4 linked regions of the Drosophila melanogaster genome follow. The protein of the gene in region 2 interacts with the protein of the main gene of each other region in a pairwise test. Each region holds a gene or a part of one and is shown on either strand. Other genes may lie near its edges. The genes, in order: mr, CG15071, ERp44 and CG34404.

Region 1 (5,057 bases), 5.3 Mb from region 2:
ACCGAGATCGTGTCTACCAAGCTCGATTCTTGCACGAGGACTAGCTGGTCCGCATACCTGAAGTAACTTTTGATGTACAGATTACAGTTTAGAACGATTACAGCATTAAATTCCAAGTTGTTTGCGTGTATAAAGTGATCGATTTAGCCACTGCGTTCGTGATTGATTTTATGAAGCCAAAAACTGTTTAACCTGTAAAGTATATCAAAACCACGTACACTTTTCTTCGCCTTTAGTTTTAGAGCCCTAAGAAGTTTGAATTTGTTGATAACGGGATTAGCATATACCTTAATATAACTTGAAATAAATTAAGCAATAGACGTATTTTACTGTGTGTTCTTCTTTTCACATAAGATTGCTTGCATTGTGTTCCAAATTCCCAAGCCAAACAAGTTTGGGTAAAGACTTTGTGTGTACGTGGGTGAGAGATAAGCTCTGAATAGAAACAGATAAGACGGCAGTTTGAAAAAATAGGTACGTTTAACATGGAGCAGTAAATTTCATAAATGTTATCGCGTTAATTCATTATTTATTTCATGATTCCTTCAGTCGTTTGCAACTTGGTTTTGGATCTCCGAAACTTATTTGGCCAATTGGTAAACTCCACCCGAGAATATTAGCTTGTGCTCCCTGACTTTTCGCTGGAGAAAGTGTTTCAGCTCATCCTGAGTAAACTCCACTCCGCCGCTGTGGGAGGCGAACAGCTTCAGCATCTGGTGGATTCGGTCAATTGGCATGGAGTCAAGATTCGTGAGCATTCCAACAATATAGGACCAAAAAACCTGCGGCATAATTGTATAAGAAAAAGCCGGAATTAGGAACAGTTGAAGGCACTTACTTGGAGTTCTTCTTCCCTTTGATCGCTGGCAGAAGCCATTGCGGATTCCAAATCCTCTTCGTCAGCTTCTGCCAGACTCATGTCCTCGTACTGAGACTTCTCCGATTCCTTTTCCAGCAGCGTGAATATTCCGGGTGTCGTTTCCGAGATCAATCCGTGGTTTTGCCAAAAACTCAGACGACGCCGCAGTGCAGACGCTGGAACTTTCGTAATGGAACTAAGATCCTCGATAGTCCATTCATCTGAAAAAAAAATATGACCATGCGGTTGTAAAACTGTAAAACTTGACTGCCCTGTAAACACGTACTCTTAGTTTGAAAGTGGTATATAATAACCGCCAAAATGGGGCTCACAACCATTTCCATGGTCCGGTCACCGATCTCGATTTCAATATTTACACGGCCAGTCACTGTACGCCAGTTGAGCGTACGGTTGCCCTTGTATGCCTCGTAGGCCTTGGTGTACTTCTTGAACTCATTCTCAATCTCCTCAGGAAGTTGGAGGCTTTCTTTATTGAAGGACGGCCAAAACTGAGCAGAAACAATCAGCGAGGAGATGTCGAACAACTGATCTAAAATGAGATGGTTTCGTTAAAGCATTTTGAAAATTAAAAGTAACTCACTTTCAGTTCGGTCGCCATCGCTGTGGATGTGCGCGTTAATTCGCTTGGAGTCGGTTACGTCTTTCAACATCACCTCGCAGCTGTGCAGCAGCGATTCGCCAAAGCGGATTTTCAGCAGTTCCAGATTTCGAATTTCTTTTTCGGAATTAAAATCTAACTGGGCCAGCAGTCTGTCCGCCATTAGATTGCGATACTCTGTCATAAACAACTCCTTACTGCCGTATATGTCTACAACCATCGATATAATGTCGGCCGATCTCATCTTCCGCGAGCTGTTGTACTGCATAATGCTGGCATCTATACCAAACGGATCGGGTTGCCAATTTTCCCAGTTGCTGAACTCATCGGTACCCGAGTCCTTGCATTCCTTAATTGTTTCTCCCTTGGCGAGTTCCTCGGATAAGTCCGTGGGCCCCTCTTCAGTCAACCCAGTGACTACGCGTCGCACTGTGTCGTTTCGTTTCCGCAGGTAATCTTTGATTGGAGCAGTTACCATCTCTAAGATGACTCCGGTACTATCCAGATGGCGAATAGCTTTGATGGCTGCCACGTAACCCGTTAATATGTCCATGGTGTTGACTCCAGGATGCAGAATCCTTGCCTCTAGCGAGTTCCTAAGGGATTCAGTGAGGTAGACTCGCATATCTATTTTCTCCATGCAAATCTTTAAGTCATCTATAGCCGGAATGGAATCGGGATAGTCTGTTTACAAATAAATACATGTAGTTGGGGGACTCTTGGCTGAATCTACGGGCACATACCAATTATAATGCTGAAGAACTGACCAATAACGCTTTGGGCAAACGTTTCGTACATAAAGTAAGTCAGTTTGACTTTGAAGGATTTTACAGACTCGGGAACTTCGATATCGCTTATGCTATCCTTAGACTTCCATTCCGTGAATATGTTTGTGAGCCAGGACATTATGACATCCGATAGCCACTGCAAAGGTAGGTAATAAATGAGTTACTTAAGTAGTTTATTTATGACAACAGAAGGTATTCCCATTCAACTTACAGTTTCCAGTTGCTTAAGATGACTTCTGTCGAAGATTCCCATGCATGTATCGCTGATGTGCTCCTTGATTTTAAGCTTGATGAGAGCGGTTAAAGCACTCCCAGTTAGACGGTCAATGAGGTTCATCTCGAAGAGCTTCATGTTTGTCTTGTTAACCATATCCGTCAGCCTTTGGCAGCAGCATTGCTCTGCTTCGAAGTTGCAGCCAACGCAGAGGAGCTCATCGAAAACATCAGAGTCTGAAGGGGAAAGCAAGTGAGCATGGGAACCACAGGAGTATGTATCGGATACATACCAACTGTGGTCAATGCGAGATTTGAGGCCTTGGTGAAGAGCTTAAAGTGCACCCAGTAGAAGGCCCCAACGACCACACTGAAATTGGGTGGCAGTTGAGCCAGCAAGCAGTCCCTTAAGCAGTTCTTAATGCCTTCCTCCTGCATGAGCTTCACCGTCTTTGCGGTGGGCTTTGTCTCAGCTCCAACTAGCTGGATCAGCCTGGGCTTCACCTGCATCAGGCTCTGAAAGCTGTCATGCAGCTCATTGATGGCGTCGATGAACTGGGTGAACAGTCCGTTCTTATCGGGCAGTGCTTCTATGGCCAGAGCTTGGTCGTTAATCCAGCCCTGCAATTTAGACGAGACCAAGCCGTCGTGGATGTGCTTCCAGAACTTGGGCACCAGGACATTCCGAATAGTCGACTGGATTTCCAGGTCCACAACCGCCGCGAAGGTGTCTATGCTGCCCAACACCATCAGGTGCTGGCGAACATTTTGGAATACATTCTCCTCAACCGGATCATTGGATACAGCGTTCTGTAAGAGTTTCTGAGTGCTAGCGCCAATCCCTATTACTGAACCGAAGGAATAAACCTACCGCTCCACCCAAAACCGGAAAGATTCTCAGTACATCCGCCCACAAAGCGTCAAAGTCGCACATCGCTTGTGTGTAATTATTTTAAACAGTGCAAAACATTGCTTGAAACTCTGAATCAAACGCCAATGGTGATGATAATGCTGTTATCGATAAGTCGATTCTATCAACCGAACCGATAGTCGATGAATCTTTGATTTATCAGAAATTATACATATATCTATTATTCATTCTTATAGGCCATTATTAATCATATTCCAAATTTCAAACTGGATCGAGTCCTGATCCTGATGAACTATCAGTTCCCCATCAATTAGCCCATAAATATAAATAACAGTTTTACTAAAATAAATTATATTAATAGATACGGGGAGCTTAGTAGCCAGAAAATAAGAAACAGCAAGAGTTTCAGAAATACAGATGTATGTCTTCACGTTCCGGCAAACACAAACAGTTAGAGCTAAAATTAAATTGCATACGACTTATTTACATACATACATACAAATTGAGATTTGAGAGCCGGCGCTGATCTTGCATAGGAATATAGTTAGATTGCGAATTTATTTAATTTTATTGTACTGTGTGCGTCACCCGACACACGCCCGTGTGGTAGCCAATATCGATTGGATGCGGATGCCAATGGCTAGCGACTTAAGGAGTAAGGAGTAACTATGAAACTATCGTATCTTCAAATGCGTCTGCTGATGCTTTTTCAAGTGGTCGCTCCGCACAAACCGGCGACAGCACTGCTGACAGGCGTAGGGCTTCTCCCCGGTGTGCGTTCGTATGTGTCGGTTGAGGTCGTCCTGCCGCTTGAACCGCTTCTCACACTGCCGGCAGTAGAAAGGCCGATCCTGAACGAACTGGGGCATCCCATACGTGCCGGGTCCGTCCGCCGGCGGTAGCTGAGAGAGGGTATTTACAATTTCTTCGGTCGGTTCGTATTTTACCTCGGGCTTCGCCTGGTTAAGGAAATCGGGCAACTGGCTCTGGTTGTGGCCATGGTTATCCATCTGGTGTTCAGGAGATACGATCTGGTACTTGTCGCTGTGCTCCGGCCGTTCCAGCTTAATCTTTATCGGCTTGTGGTGGATGTCGATAATGCTCACGGGCTGCTGGTGCTGGTTATGCTGCTGCTGCTGGTGGTGGTGCTTCATGCTCGGCTCCCCGCAACCAACCATGGCGGCCATGAAGTGGAAGCCCGAGTCCGACTCCGAATGAATCTGCTTCTTCGGGGGCTTGAGCCGGACTCCACCACTGCTGCTCGGTACTGTTCGCTTCGGGGTGCTGCCCTTTAGCTGGCGGTCGTGGGTAGCTAGGTGCTTGGTGAGGTGGTCGCTGCGGGAAAACTTCTTGGTGCACTGGATGCACTCGAAGGGCTTCTCGCCGGTGTGCGTCCGGAGGTGCCGGTTGAGCTCATCGGAGCGCGTGAATCCCTTGCCGCACTTGGGCTCGCTGCAGACGAAGGGCTTGATGCCCGTGTGCCAGGTGAGGTGGGACCGCAGGTGGGAGCTCTTGCCGTAGCTCTTTGTACAGTTGTCATACGGGCAGACGAACTTGCGCTTGGGATCGGAGGCGAGCGTCGTGGCCATTAGCTTCACACTGGGCATTATGCGGATCTTAGAGTTGCCGTTCCCGCCGTAGTGCGAGTCGTCCTCAGGCTCAGTCTCAACTCCGTGATGGGGCACATTCTCCACATTCGCCTCGTCG
Region 2 (2,844 bases):
AAAAAAAAGTATGGAAAAAACAGAAATGCCATTGCCACGTGCCGTTTGACCTTTCCCCATTGGTCGCCCGGCGAATGCGATGAACCTCAAGCTCGGCGCTCGCAAATGAGACATTTCAAAATAATCGCAACCAGAAATACACCAACAACAAGTATAGCAGTCGTGGCAGAAAATACCAGTGTCGCCTCCGTTTGGGAATCCTTCAGCCGAAGGCGAAAAAAGTCGCATCAAAAGGTCCTATTGATTTAAAAGGCAAGCAGCTCAAGGCAAGGTCTAAAATGTTGTTGATTACGAGTGTCGCCCATTAAATAAGGGCCCTGAAACAATGTCAAGAATTTCAGCAATATTTGTCTGCAAATCGCAATGCATGGCCATCGAGAAAAGCATTTGCTCCGTAATACTTTTTCAAAACTAATGGTATTTGCATTTAAATTGGATTGGATAATACTTTGTAGGTATATCTACTTTTGAAACTATTCCACTTGATTTAAAGATATTTCTTTATTGTTTTGCAAGCCTATTCAAGTTATAGAACAAATACAAATTTTTGGGATATTATCTATGTGAAAAAGTGAAAAAAAAACTAATCCAAAAGTTGCTGTATATTAATCTACATGCTACCTTTCCACAACAGCTTATTTTCAATTTCCATTTTAGCGTACTGCTCCCTCAGTTCTTCGAGTTCCTTTGAGTTCCTAGCAGCCAAGCGATACAATTGGGCATTTAGGCCAACGATTCTTTCCCTTAGAGCATTCACTGTATATTGGCTAAGACGTTCTGGCCGAAAGACATCCTCCTTAACGGTGGCCACAAAATGCCACATATCCTGAAGCTCTCCACGCTTTTCGCTGCTATATAGCTTAAGTTTTTCATGGAGCACAAGTTTCTCCTGTTCGATTTCGTTGATCAGACCTATTAGATCTGCCGTGGAGGAACTGTTGGGTCGTGGATTTCGACCAGTTTCCGGCTCTTGGCAAGACTCGGTCTTTGAATCTGTGCCCTCATCATCTTTGAGTATGAAATTATTGGGATTCAGCTTGACTTGATTGCATTCGAGATATTTTTGCTGCGCCTTCAGGCGCGTCAATTCACACAGAATGGCGGTAGGTGTTAGTTTTGCCGCCCTGATCTTGGGCGGAATTTTAACTTGATTCCGTTTACGAGCGGGTTTTTCCGGCGGTTGAGCCCTTGGAGCCGTTGGCTTTTGTTCATCGTCTTTTGGATTTTCCATTGGGGCTTCGGTAGCATGTGATTGTTGCACAACATCCAAGGAGAGAGTCGTTGCAACTTCTGCAGCGCTCGTTTGGTTGTTCTTATTTACACGCGGTAATCAAACGTGTTGCCAGCACACCCAACCACCCACCCACTCCTTCCACGTGTTTAATCGATATGCAACCTTTCCACCCCCCTCGATTTTTCCGGCTGCTGTGCCAACAATTCTATGCTTCTGCCGGGGGTCAGTAAACTTTATTTGGCTTGGCTGGATTTTACAATTTTCCAAACGGCAGCGGTAACTTTCAGTGGAAATGGAAAATCGATTAGTACAATTACTGTTTCCATGTCATGGCCTACTTAATTGCCCATGGAAATGGGACAAACGGGGTCGTGGCTTGAAGACCACTTTCGTGGCTAACTAATTTCTAATCAGTACTTGTGGGAGACCGGGAAAATCCACCTGCTAGCCAAAAACTCAAGTGACGATCAAATGTTTGGCGAGCTAATCAAGTTTCAATGGACTAACAAAAGTATAAAGTAAAAGTAGGAAATACAACAGTGAGCCTTGCTTTAGTGGAACTAATATATTAAATCACAATCTACAATCAATGAAATCAAAGCTAAGAAGGTTTATATATTATGCAAAAATGTTCGTTATATTTAAGATTCACTGTTAACTAACGAAATTCGTTTATATTTAAATTGCCTTTTTTTTTTATGTACGGCTAAAATTGCTGGAATTACAAAAGTGCTTGGTATGGAAGTTTGACTGTTTGTGCGGATGAAATGTTGATTTATTATTTGTTTTGCTATCGCCTGCAAAGTCAAATCGGGCAGCATTAACTTGGCGCGTGCTGTTTGTCTTCTGTCTCCCTCCCACCCACCAGCCACAACCCACTTGCGCCCACACCACCCACTCCGCTGTGCGACAGAGACAGAGAGCGAACGCACGTGACTGATTTGCGAATTTACTTTTCTTGCGATGACAAAACATCGTGGATGAAAAATCAGCAGAAGAAGCAACTCCACTGATAGCATTTGTGCTTATCATTGGAATGTATGTATGTATGCGTATTTTTTTTTTTTGCTGCAGATAGCATAGTTTTGTTAGTATCAAAAGCATACAAATATGAACGTGGAAATGCAAAGGAAAGGCAAAAGGTCGACCTTAGATTTAGTGCGCATAATTTTTTGGGTTTTGTAAACACACACACACACAGTAGAAATATGATAAAAACCGCAGACACACGAATGGTGAGCTGCAAAAAGCCGCGAAATTGTTAATAAAAAGGTAAATAAAAATTGTTAAACGATTTCAGCCACCCATCTCGCTCGCTCATCATCTCCGTCCCGCTTGCACTCGCTTCTTTTCGGTCTGACGCGTGTTAGATGTTCAAACATGTTTTCGGTCTGCTGGCCAAAAGGCAACGCTCAGACGGCAGCTTAAATATTTGCCCATAGCGAAAGATCAATCAACAAATGTGAGCGAGACGGTGTGAATTGACCAGAAAGAGACGGGTAGAGCATAGGGCTGCACAGAGAGAAATAATATCGACATATAAATAATGAAATGTATAGTAGCATACAGTTTAAACAGTTTAAAAACTCACATTTGCAATGCGGTTTTTC
Region 3 (6,318 bases), on a different chromosome or scaffold from region 2:
TTCATTTGAACCGATTTTTATCCCAACACACACACGGTTATCGCTCGTTTTGACTGAATTATATTATATAATTATGTAATCTAATTTAACAACTGTAACTGTAACATGGTACATACGAATAAACATATATATATGTATACATATATAGCTCATATATATGTGTATATATATATATATATAGAGAAAATCAAAATCACTGCTTTGAATTCGGAAGTTGACATCATTCATTTCCAGCTTAGCTGACTAAGAAGGGGATTCCAAAGAATTCAATAAGTTCGCCTCGCCGAAATCTCCAGCGTAATTTTTAACAACAAAACGAGGAAAACTTGAAAAGTGACGCGTGCAATTTGTGGATAATTCAGCAACTGTTTCTTTTTGCAATAACAAAGGTGGTTAAATCCAGACTTTTTATTTTTAGAATTGCATTGAAGAGAATTGAGGCTGCTGCGCCCGCTATTTGCATGGATAACCGCTCACCTGCTGATCTGCTTTCAGAGAAGGTTGCTCATTATTACATTTTTGTATTATTTTCTTTTATTTTCAATATACATTATTATTATTATATTACAGTTCATCTTTTTCTAGCAGGGTGTAGCGATGCTTGGATGGGCCAAGTTCCTTGAATTTGGACTCTGGTGGCGATGTACCCTTGCCAGTGTGTGGGTCAGGTTCAATATCATTTGAGGGATCCGGCCCGTAATGAAATTCCCTGGAAAGCAAAGCAGCAGACCGTTTAGTAATTGAGCCCCATGGTGTTAGCAAAGGCGGCTGTATAACAATTACCTGTGCAGCTTGCCACTGTAGAGATCCTGAAGGAACTGCTTCAGCTTACCCGGCGAGTACATGTCACTGAAGTGGGGGAACAGATACATGTGCTTGAACGAGTCGATGGCAATCAAGGGCAAGTCATCCTCGGATTTACCCAGATGGTGCAGAGGATGCGCGAATCGCTTGCCATCGGCGGTCAAAAAGTTGACGTTCTCTGCAAAATTTCGAAAATACAATGTCAAACCAAATGCTTATATGCAAAGTAAACAACACGATGATTCATCTTACGTTTCTCATCCAGCAATTGACGCTCAATGATCGACTTGTAATCCTTGATAGAATTATGATCGGTTGGGTGGTGGAAGAGAATTAGGAACGGCAGACCCTCCTCCGTAAGTTCCTCTGCATTCTCAAATGTTATTTCCCGCACCAGGGGTACACACTTCTCTTGGACCCAAATTTTGAGCTCATCGAAATTTTGTAGGCTGCCAGTGTAGGTCTCATCGTTCTCATGAGACAGAGCTACATCAGGTCTAAATACTATGATAGGTGTACCTGTAATAGACCAAAAAAGCTGACATTCAGTATTGGCTTGGCATGACTTGGTGCGTTTGATAGAATTCACCTGGTGGATGCATGGCCTGGGCGGCATCTCCGAAGCCCACGTGGAACTGGCAGTCTTCCTTCAGATTTGTCGCCACCTTGCGGAATATGTCGTACTCTGGCTGGTCCCTACGATCGAAGTAGCCCAGAATGAGGCGCTTCTTCGAGTCCAGGTTCTCCAGATCCTTCAGGGATTTGAACTCCTGAATGGGATCCTCCAGCTGCTTCTTGACGAACTCGAGGAACGCTTCGGCTGAACGCTGTCCTCGGTATTCGCGCTTGCTGAGCTGCCCATTGCGTACAATTTTCAATGTTGGATACTTGTTTATGTGGAAACGGGACGCGATGGCCGTTTCCTTGTCGCAATCGACCTTGCCTAGCACCACTTTTCCAGCCTCTGGAAACTCCTCTTTAATCTGTAAGAGAAATTCGATTGAATGCCACGTATTTATTCGATATAAAATGTATATGAATGTATCGCATTGTTTGTAAGCTTTTACTGGCGATCCATTTGACTCACCTTATCTGCAGCTTCCGCGAATATAGGTGCTAAAATATTACTAAACCGACACCACTCCGCATAAAAATTAAGGAAAACCAATTCATTAGACGCTGCAAGAAAACAAAACGTGTTTTTAATGTAGGCACCAAATTGTGTGTAAAATTGTTGATGCGTAGAATACAACTCCGTTCAGATACTAAATATAATAACTTTTAAAAACATATATTTGGTAATATATTTATATCAATATTGAATTACGGGTTTATGTATTAATAATTTAAATGCATATGTATTTTTATGGAATATATTTAAATTTGTCGCTGAATATACATATTAAAGTCAAGAAATTTCTAGCATCCTACTATTCCATAACTTCCGAAAGTTAAAATTTAAGGGGTGCAAGCCTAAGGCCAGGCTTTACTGTAAAAGTTAACGTTTGGATAATAAAAAAAAATAACTTTAAAAAAACAATATAGTATTACCGCAGGATTGTGTACAGGACACACCGTATAAAAAGGACCTATTCATGCAAAGACCAAACTTCGGACATTCTGAGCAAAGAACTGCCGACCAATGGCTAGTGCCCATTTTGGCGGACTATCGGACCGATGCAGCATGAAATATAAACCGCCCTAATTAAGTTTTATCCAAATTCCACACCTTGTCCTTTACGAAAGCGCATAAAACTTATTTTACCACGTTGGCAGTGCCGAATTGAGCGAGCCAGTGATTTTGTTTAGTGACACGTCAATGGGACAAGTCGGCTAATTGATTCCCGCTCACGCTGGCAGCGGGAATGGCATGGGGATGACTGTGATGGTTATGGTATGGGCATATCTCACCTAGGGTCATATCGATATTATCACTGGTCATGGGCACGGCTCCGGCGGCATCGGCCGGCTGTGTGTACTGGAGTAGCTGTAGAATCTGTAAATTCCATAGGATGTCAGTTCTGGTTAGTTAGTTATTTGGTTAGGGGGAGCCAAAAAAAAGCCGGGGCTGTCTGGCCGGCCCCTCCCCACTGTTTCCCCGCCCGCTGATCGAGCGGGTGAGCCACTCCAGTGACCAGCAACATGACCAGACAGAACGGAACACGTCGACTCACCGCAACTAGGGCCACACACGGCCCAAGCTTTCCGATTCCGATTCTGGCTCCAAACATTCTTGTTCGGCTTCCGAATGGCGAATGCGGCTGGCGAGGAGTGGGCGTAGAATTGCGTGCACCGGCGGAGAGTCCAAGCGATCGGTTCTCTTTTTTTCTGATTTCAGTTACACATCAGCTGGAATGGAATGCAAACGTACGCACAATTATTAAGTTTTACAAATTTTTGGTTGATTTTATCGGCTGGCCAGTGTTGGTTAGTCTCGAATGCACATCTCATCGGCAATCGAGTAACGATAGCTTAGTCACATGACTTGGCCATCGCTAACAGCAGCGATAACAGCGATAGCAGCAAACAACGATAGCAATTTCAATGGAAATGAAACAAAAAGTGTCTAAATGAATACATATGCATACATATGTATGTGCAACAACATTTGCAAATCTTTGTTTATAATAGCTGACGCTTATGGATTTTATGGTGGTAAATAGAGCGAGAAAATCTAGAAGCCAAGCGCGTTTTCAATTCGGCAATACGTTTTGAGCTAAATACCCCGAAAAGTCTGCTGAGCGAACGGTTTGTGGAATCCAAAAACCAAATGTGTGTGCATACATATGTACGATTGTAATGTGTTATTGTTGCTCCCCGAAATATCGAAACACAAACATACCTACATAGACAAATATACATATGAGTTTATGCAAACATACACATGCGTAAATGTTTAATTACTTTGTTTATGACAACATACACGGCCATTAGAATACGTTGAGTACGATAATCGGCCATTTTTCGCCTATTGGCTATGAAATCGTGATAATCTAGTCTATTGGTATATATGTGCGTGCGTATGTAATGCAGCGACACACAAATATGTGCATACTATATATTGCGCACCTTGTGGAACTGCAACTGTGTGTGCTCACATAAATGTATGTTCATTGTACATTGTACATCCATACGTGCATATATATGCAGTGCATTATCTATATTGCCACCACGACACTCAAAAACTCAAATATTAACTTCGATTTGTTCTAAAAGTGTTGATTGTGCCCAATTTATCATCCCAGTGACATTTATTTGGCTTTGTTTGTGCACTGCTTAATGCACATGCACATATGTGCATAGTATTATTTATTTATTTATGGGAGCCACTATACTATACGTATCGAATCGTCCCAATAACATCGCACACACACTGTTGTGCGTAATTATGTATTCGGATGGTGGATATAAGAGATATATGCACTTATAAGCGATAACCGGATTTCCAATGACACCCAAATCGCCTTGCCTAAATATAAGCAAATAAGTAATTTCGAATACGTTACATGTTAAGTATTCTTTTAGCCGATTCACACAATGTCCGATGGATCACCGCCTCCATCGATTTGCTTTATCCGTGCCGCCGAATCGTATCCAAAGTCACAAATGGAGAAGGAAGACTCCCAGCTGTTCGTCCCGTTTCAAGAGTGTAGGTGTTCCCCCATATGCTGTAACCGATAACACATGCTAATCTATAGTATATATACCACTAGTGGCCGGCGAATCGATTAAGTACCTGGGGCGCACGGATGATGGTATCCTCGCCCTGTCCAATTATCGGATATTCCTTTCCAAGCAGTCAACCGGCTACGAGACCTACGTTCCATTGGGATTAATCGAATCCGTACAGGTGCGAGATCTGTTCCAGCTGATTGTCAATTGTAAGGATGCCAGCACTGTGCGCTGCTCCTTTCCGTCGGCGGAACAGTGCTCCGACTGGCAGCGCCGGATCCATCTGATGATCGGGGTTCCCGAGTCACTGGAGACACTCTTCGCCTTTCCCTTCTACTCCTGGACCTGCGATGTGCTCGGAAGTGGCAATGGAAGCGGTATCGTTAGCGCCCAGGCCAACGGAAACGGCCTGATTGCCAAGGATCGTTGCCTAACGCTACACAATGGCTTGGCAAAGCCAACAGCCAACGTCACAGCGTCGAATCCTCTGCCCGATCCTGCCAGCGAGACCATCTCAGCCGCCATGAGCAATCGCCTGCAACGATCAGTGCGCTATGAAAGCGACTTTAAGAACGAGGTTGCCCGCTTGGGATTCGATCTGAAGGGCTCGTGGCGCATCTCCACGGCCAATGCCGATTTTAAGCTCTGTCCCTCGTATCCACCCAAATTGCTTGTGCCCTGCTGTATCACCGATGAGATGCTCCACAACGTGGCCAACTTCCGGGGATCACGAAGGCTGCCGGCTGTCGTCTGGCGGCACCAAAAGTCGGGTGCCATCTTGGCCCGATGCAGCCAGCCGGAGGTCGGTTGGCTCGGCTGGCGCAACACAAGGGACGAGCAGCTACTCAAGGCACTCGCCGATGCCTGTGCCTTTGACAGGGGCGAGCACGCCAGGCATTCCACCTGCGCCAATGCAAAGGCGCAACCAACAAAGGGCTCCAAGGAGACCAACGGCCAGTCGGGCTTATCCGGCAAGAGTTCACCATCTCTGGACGATTCCTCGCATGAGGAACTCACGCTGGATGAAATCAAGGTAAGTTTATTACCAAAATAGCCGGGTATTCTTGAAATGAAGGTTTCAGTTACCATATAAGAAAACATTCATGAATAATTATCATAAATTACTTAACACGGAGCAGTAAAATGATGTCAAAACCGCCAAGTGCTAATGAAATAATTTGATCATTGCTCTTAAATTGTATTTGCTTTCAGAAAATCCTCATTGTGGATGCTCGCAGCTACACCTCCGCAGTTACAAATCGTGCCAGAGGTGGCGGCTGTGAGTGCATCGAGTACTATCCCTGTGCAGAGATTGAGTTTATGAACTTGGGCAACATCCACGCCATTCGAAAGAGTTTCCACGCTGTCCGACAGCTATGCGCGTCATCCCCCGATGATCCAAAGTAAGTTTACTAGCTGATTATTAAAGATATATATATATTTATGTAATGGAATCATATTCTTGCAGCTGGTACGGACAACTGGAAAAGACCATGTGGATGCAGCACCTGTCGGGTCTGCTGGGAGCCACCATGACCGTTGTGCACACCATCGAGAAGAATGGACGACCCGTCCTTGTACATTGCTCAGACGGTTGGGATCGCACTCCACAGATCGTGGCCACGGCGCAATTATGTTTGGATCCCTACTACAGAACGGTTGAGGTACGTTGATATACATCAACATTTGTGTTCTATGGACTAATACTCTACCTACTTGCTTGTATTTGCAGGGGTTCCGCGTTCTTGTCGAGCGTGAATGGCTGAACTTTGGACACAAATTCGCCGATCGCTCTGGAAATGGTCCCAATTCCGATGAAGTTAACGAGCGATGTCCAGTTTT
Region 4 (6,016 bases), on a different chromosome or scaffold from region 2:
GTAGACTCGTCGGCGGCGTCCTGTGCATTGCTATTAGTGGGCTCGGTTTTTACCATCGCAGCTGCAGGTGAGTTTCCATTGTCCGCTGGTTCGGCTTTAATCTTGATCGCAGGAGTAGTGCTTGTGGGCTCATCTGCATTCTCCACTGGCTCAGCTTTTATTTTCATAGGAACTTCAGGATTTGTTTCATCTTTAATGGACGCCACAGGCTCCTCCGATTTTACGCGCTTTCTTAGGCCGTTTTCTGCGCCAAAATTTGCGTTGCAATTGTGTGTGATATCTTCAGAAGATTTTCGTTTAGCGCCACTATCGGCTGTAGATGCATCTGTGGCACTCATTTTAAGTAAATTAAGTTAAATTTTCAAAACATTTTTATTTCACAAGTACTCATATACTTGATTCTGGTGATTTGCAACACTACACGAAATGGTGATGGATGCTTAAGTTAGTTTCATTAGCTTATCGATTAATTATTGGAGCCAATTTCAAATTCGTGAATTTTATCGAGTTTTAGTAGACGTTTTATATTTTGTACAGTTTTAAATACATATTGAATCATATAACAAGCAAAATGCGAATACATTGTATAAATATAGGATCCCGTGTATGCGTCTTGAATAACTCCTTAGTTTGTCTATTCGTATGTGTGTATATGTAATTGCTTGTGGCCCATAGACGGATGCTCCAATCCCACGGATCTATGGATAGGTTGGTGGAGCCTTGCTCATGGCACCTCTGAATATGTATGTATTTGAGTATGTAGTTACTGCAGCCTTATCTGCGAGGCAGGGACACCGCCCAAGCCCCAGCCGACTGCAATTAAGTCGCATGGCACATTCGTGATACTGTCTTGGTCATGGCGGATCCACGGCGACTGCTGGGCGGGTGGTCATTGCATTAAAGGTAAAATAAGCGATATGATCGAGAGGGAAAGATCTTTTGCGGGATATGTGACAAGCGCGCCCGCTCCACGCCCAGTTGCTCAGTCCTCCTGGAAGGTCGTCATGCGTTTCCTACAGAGTAGTCTCAGGAACATGGTTATGGCCTTGCTCGTAGTCCAGCCGCAGGTCAACAATCTTCTGCTCTAGCTTCCTCACCCGCAGCTGGTACTTGCGCTTGGTGTGATCTAACATTTGGCCCAGATTGCTAAAAGGGAAATATGAAGAAATTATGTATGAAACAGTCAAAATAAAACGAATCTTACTGGTTGGATTTCTGCAGTTCACGCACGTTCTGATGCAGTTGCTCGTATTTTTCGTCGAAGGCCTTCTGCGAAGCTGTTACATTTGCCAATAGCGTCTGTATGCGACCCTTGAGCTCCGTTTCTCGAGTTAAGGCCTCCACCAACTGCTGCTCTGTGAGAGCCGCATGCTCCGCCTCCGAATACGAGACCCGGTTGTTTGCCTGTAGCTGCTTTAGGGCTTCGTGGAGTATGCCCACTCGTTCGTTGGCGTTCTGCCGTTCCTGCTCGGCCTCTTCCATTTTTGTCTTCAGCTGCAAATTCGAATCCCGCAGCTCGAGTATTTCTTGCATAATCACTGCTGTCTCCAAGTCAATGGGTGACTTCTTGTCCGCGCTCCGAAGTTCGTGCTCCTTTTCCAAAGCCAGGCGCTTTCTTTCGTATATGTCGCTGAAGGGTGATTCCAAACTGACAATGGTATGCTGGACATTGGAACGACGTCCCTTCAGCTTGGAGACGTGGTAACGCAGGCGGTTGTCGTCGTCGGCACACCACGGGCGGCCAGTTTTTGGGGCATCCTCTGGGCCCAGGTTGATGTTGTGTTGCCACGGTCCCAGGCTGTTCTCACAAACGTTTTTCTCGCTATCCAAACGGGCTAGCAGGTGCCTGGCCACCGCCTCCACCGATCGTCGACTCTCTTCCGCTGCCACTGATTTCTCCCCCAGCAGTGCCAACCTGGAAGTGATGAATTGTGAAATAGGGACAACAACCCGCGTCTTATGGTGATTGTACTTACTTGCTTTCGAGCAGAGCCAACATTACGTCGTAGGCCTCGATGGCGCGATCACTGCAATTAAGCGCCAACTGAAGAGCAACCGCATTGGACTCGTACTTTCCGCATAGCAGATACAGATGCTCAGTGTGCTCCTTGCATTCGTCTAGCGTCAGTGCCAGCATGGTGTTTCGCATCTCCAATTGTTCAACACGTCGTTGCAGTCGCTCCAAGTCTTTGCTCAAATGTAGGGGCTCCATAAAGTTCTCCATATATAGATTTTGCTCCTTTAGCTCCGACACCAAATGTTCGACCAGATTAATTTGCTTAAAATTATGGGTTGTATGGGTTGAAATGTATTCTCTGAATAAAGTTTTGGTCAACACACCTCGTTGCTCAATGAAGTATCTTGGGATGGATCTTCTCCGGATTCATGTTTGCTGGCGCACCGCAACTTAACCCGTTCAGCCATTTTCGGTACCGCTGGAATGCGTTTTTGCGGACTTGTCAAGGAAGTGCAAACTGAAAGCATCTAAATGTGTAACCATTCTTTTATCATCAGGATTATTTATATTACCATTCAAATCATTCAGTCGCTGTCCGCACTCGTTGACTTCCGATTCGCAGTCGAAGGCGACTTTGGTCTGTTCCTCGACCACAGCAGCATCCTTGGTGGAAATCTCGGACTGGAGGAGGGCGATTCGAGCTCTCAAGTGCAGAACTTCCTCCTGCAGTGCCTCCACTTGTCCCTTATGGCTCAGTTCCGGCGGTTTGTGGGCAACGTTACCCACGCTGGTGGTACTGCAGGCGCCCTCGAAGTCTTCCAGTGGTTCTGTTTGACATTCGGCATCAGGATTGGTGAGGTTAAGCTCGGAATTGTACACTGAACCCTCCTGAAAGCTGAGTTCTGAAAACAAGACTGTCGGTTAGGGGTTTGTTTCCCTCATTTGAAACTGCTACGCACCGCTGCCGTCGGGCTCCTGCTCCTCCATGATAACGTGGTCCTGCTTACTGCGCAATTTCTTGCTTAACTCGGCGATGACACAGTGCATCTCTGTGATGCGACACTCGTGGGCCTGGCTGACAACCTCCAAGCGCTTGTGGCATATTTCCCGCTCTGTGTTGCTCTCAGTGAGCTGTCTTTCCGCCTGCTGCAGACGCTGCGTTAGATCCCGCACCCGGTTTTCTAGCTGTTGTACCGACAGTTGCTCAACCTGGAGGTGAATCAAAAGAAAAGAGGCGGATTAGAGCTTTCTAAGTGGTTATTCTTGGGGTCATCACGTTTATGGGCCGTCTGGCCAGAGGATGAGCCATCAGCGTATACTCCCAACTGCGTCTCTTGTCGTTGGGCACCGATGGCGTATCGCTGCAGCACAGGCAGCTCAAGCTGCGCGGAAGCAGTTGCTCCGAAATCATGGTCCAGTGGAAAATTTTGACTGGCGATTACGTCGTCATCCGACCGCGGATGCATCCGCGCTCTCCGCCGCTGCAACTTGACCCTCAGCCTTCCACACGCATCTGCGCACTGGACGCCAACCGAATTTAAAGCCCGAAACACTTTGAAAACCAATGATTGAAAATTCTGCGTTTCTTATTTTAAACTACACAATAATGAGGTATTTTTAAATATTTTGTGATCATTTTAAAAATTAATTTAAAATGAACTTGATCATGTTTAGTACCAATGTATCATTGCAAATTAATATATTGATTTTTTTGATTTAAGATCTAGTTATTTCTCTCAGTGCGGGCATCATTACTCACTTTGTTGACAATGTCTAGCGTGGAGCAGCTGGATATGTTGTTGTCACTCTCGGTGGTGTCCCGCTGCGTGTGCTCCGGAGAGTCCAGGTCGGAGGATCCCACCAAGTGCCTGCCACCGGGTCCTCCACCGCGCGGCGAAATGCTACCGAAGACGTACTCGAAATCCTCGCCAGCCGCGCTGCCGGAGTGCTTGCCCTGGAATCCGCTGGAGTCACGCTGCTTGCCACTGCGACGCGGCACATCGGTAGCTATCTTGGCCACCCGGGCGACCTGCACATCATTCGACATGGTGGCAATGGGCGGCTGCAACGACTTTCCGACTAGAATTGGCCTGATTTGGGCCGCTTGATGATGACTTTTGATTGGTGCTCCATTCCCAGGATATGTGGCACTGGTGTTAACTCTACATGGCTCATTAAAAACTTTTCTTAAGGCATTTTTAATTCAAAAACTCGAAATTACTCCAACCAGTCGGGATATTTATTGCATTCTTATCAGAAAATGTATACCCAGAAATAAGAGTGTGTGAGAGTGTGTTTATGCTAACGGTATGCAACACTCCGCATATTATTTATCGATAACTTGGGCGCGTCTTTTAAAACTGTATGCTATAGTTATTGTACATATCCAGTTTCAACGCAATATCGATTGAATAAAGTGATTTATTTTATATAATCTGGTTTTATTGTACGCTGTTGCGGTAATATATATATGTATTATATCTTTTGTCAACACTGAGATATGGTTTCATCCATTTCTTTGGGAGTCCTCAATTGAACTAGTTTTTCTCTAAGGAATAGCCGCCAGATTCTCTGCTCGTATCGTCACCATAGCCTCGTAGTCCCGCATGTCCAGATCGTGAAGTGCTTTCTGGACCAGAGTGGCCAGGTGAGGCGGCAGGTCCTTCAGATCCTCCATACGTTCCCGTGCCACTGCACTGGATATTCGTGGCGTGCCGTTGCAGCGGCTGCTCAATCCACAGTTGCCCGAATCTGTTGTGGCGGATGAAGACTTTTGGAAGTCATCGGGCTGCACATCTGCACCGTACACAGACGAATCCACGGACTCCGTTGAAAGCGAGGACATTCCATCGTCGGAATGCAGAGCCTCAACGGACTTGTGCTTCTTTGAATCTTCATGATCCGCTGTAATGGCGACGCCTTCGTTATCTGGCTCAATGGACGGAGTGCTGCTGATGTCGGCGTCATCTACCATGGCGGCACAATAGCCATTGAGGAGCAGCTGCGAAGGCGCATAACCATATTCCACGTCCTCCTCCTGCTCCTCTGCGTTGTCATCGTTTCCGGAGAGGAGTTGTTGCCACCGCTGCTCCAGCTCCGTCATTTTGCCAGCCAGTATTCTGCAGGAAATATGGGTTTATGAAATATATATCAACTTTCAGCTGGATTTTCCTACTTGTTGGTCTTCTTTTGGTGCGTCAGGGCCAAGTTCTTGTCGTTGAGATTGTCCAGCAGGGCCAGACACAAGGATTTTAGATCGCTTAAGCTCTCGGTTTTCTGAGGCAGCTCAATGCCACTCTCGAGGATTGTTTTCACTAGGGTACAAACAAATTAGAAAGGCATGAAAGAGGTGGCCACCATATAATTACTCACCTTGCCGGGGGCTTAGAATGGTGTCCTCATTTGTGCTCCCACCGCCAAGTTTTACAATTCCCTTCTTTCGTTTTGCATCCAACATTGTCTGAATGATTTAAATATAAATAAATAAAATGGTAATAAGTCTTAACTAATACCAGTACCTTGTACTTATTGATGCTCTGTTTGGTGAGCTCCAGTTCGCTGTCTTGGATCTTCACACGTTCATGCAGGTACTTGTTCTCCAGCAAAACACCATCGATGTCCAGGAGCTGGAAAATCAATAACTATCAAGTAAGTACTATATAGCATCAGTTAACTCACCCTTGGATGCGTTTTCTTCGCCCTGAGGGCCACAAAGAGTTCATGATTTAGGCGGTGTGCCTTGCACTTGTAGGCATCCCGCTCGGTTATCAGCTCCTCCTTCTCATCGATCACCGCCTTCAGGTCGAAGGCCAGCTGGGCATTCCTTTTTTTGAGGCCCTCCAGGTGGCAGATAAAGTTTGCCCGCTCACGACGCCACTGCAGCTCCTCCTTGTTGCGAGCGGCATTCTCGCTGGCCATTGCCTGTACCCGCGACTTGTTGCTGGCCTCCGTCTCCCGGAGTAGTTCCATGTCGCCATGCAGCTCGTTGAGCCGCTGCCTCAGGGCTTCCACTTCGGTGCTGAGCTTTAGGTTCTGCTCGCGCGTCTCGTGGAGCAGGGC

What was found.
Region 1: the proteins of CG15071 (region 2) and mr interact in a two-hybrid assay, tested with the Drosophila melanogaster proteins (one large-scale study listed by BioGRID).
Region 3: the proteins of CG15071 (region 2) and ERp44 interact in a two-hybrid assay, tested with the Drosophila melanogaster proteins (one large-scale study listed by BioGRID).
Region 4: the proteins of CG15071 (region 2) and CG34404 interact in a two-hybrid assay, tested with the Drosophila melanogaster proteins (one large-scale study listed by BioGRID).

What each region holds. Positions count from the first base shown.
Region 1 is NT_033778.4:23,970,865-23,975,921, reverse strand, and holds mr (morula), read right to left. Parts: upstream 3,492-5,057; 5' UTR 3,414-3,491; coding exon 3,351-3,413; intron 3,290-3,350; coding exon 2,773-3,289; intron 2,717-2,772; coding exon 2,478-2,716; intron 2,403-2,477; coding exon 2,222-2,402; intron 2,163-2,221; coding exon 1,461-2,162; intron 1,410-1,460; coding exon 1,146-1,409; intron 1,081-1,145; coding exon 839-1,080; intron 783-838; coding exon 582-782; 3' UTR 514-581; downstream 1-513. Other genes in the region: PPP1R15 (protein phosphatase 1 regulatory subunit 15), read left to right, coding at 1-44; CG3065 (uncharacterized protein), read right to left, coding at 4,025-5,057.
Region 2 is NT_033778.4:18,695,021-18,697,864, reverse strand, and holds CG15071 (uncharacterized protein), read right to left. Parts: upstream 1,281-2,844; 5' UTR 1,232-1,280; coding exon 611-1,231; 3' UTR 520-610; downstream 1-519.
Region 3 is NC_004354.4:16,293,332-16,299,649, forward strand, and holds ERp44 (endoplasmic reticulum protein 44), read right to left. Parts: upstream 4,330-6,318; 5' UTR 4,311-4,329; intron 3,909-4,310; exon of another isoform or gene 3,752-3,908; intron 3,577-3,751; exon of another isoform or gene 3,460-3,576; coding exon of another isoform or gene 3,445-3,459; exon of another isoform or gene 3,340-3,444; intron 3,257-3,339; exon of another isoform or gene 3,154-3,256; 5' UTR 3,036-3,153; coding exon 2,979-3,035; intron 2,940-2,978; exon of another isoform or gene 2,801-2,939; coding exon 2,716-2,800; intron 1,984-2,715; coding exon 1,892-1,983; intron 1,788-1,891; coding exon 1,394-1,787; intron 1,324-1,393; coding exon 1,057-1,323; intron 983-1,056; coding exon 784-982; intron 710-783; coding exon 565-709; 3' UTR 522-564; downstream 1-521. Other genes in the region: CG3632 (uncharacterized protein), read left to right, coding at 3,445-3,459, 4,330-4,453, 4,518-5,509, 5,689-5,879, 5,945-6,140, 6,209-6,318.
Region 4 is NT_033777.3:15,363,431-15,369,446, forward strand, and holds CG34404 (uncharacterized protein), read right to left. Parts: upstream 4,236-6,016; 5' UTR 4,005-4,235; coding exon 3,717-4,004; intron 3,393-3,716; exon of another isoform or gene 3,369-3,392; coding exon of another isoform or gene 3,234-3,368; exon of another isoform or gene 3,167-3,233; coding exon 2,917-3,166; intron 2,860-2,916; coding exon 2,530-2,859; intron 2,475-2,529; coding exon 2,341-2,474; intron 2,279-2,340; coding exon 1,977-2,278; intron 1,916-1,976; coding exon 1,205-1,915; intron 1,147-1,204; coding exon 1,014-1,146; 3' UTR 503-1,013; downstream 1-502. Other genes in the region: CG6171 (uncharacterized protein), read right to left, coding at 1-338; CG14868 (uncharacterized protein), read right to left, coding at 4,506-5,076, 5,133-5,271, 5,330-5,417, 5,476-5,583, 5,636-6,016.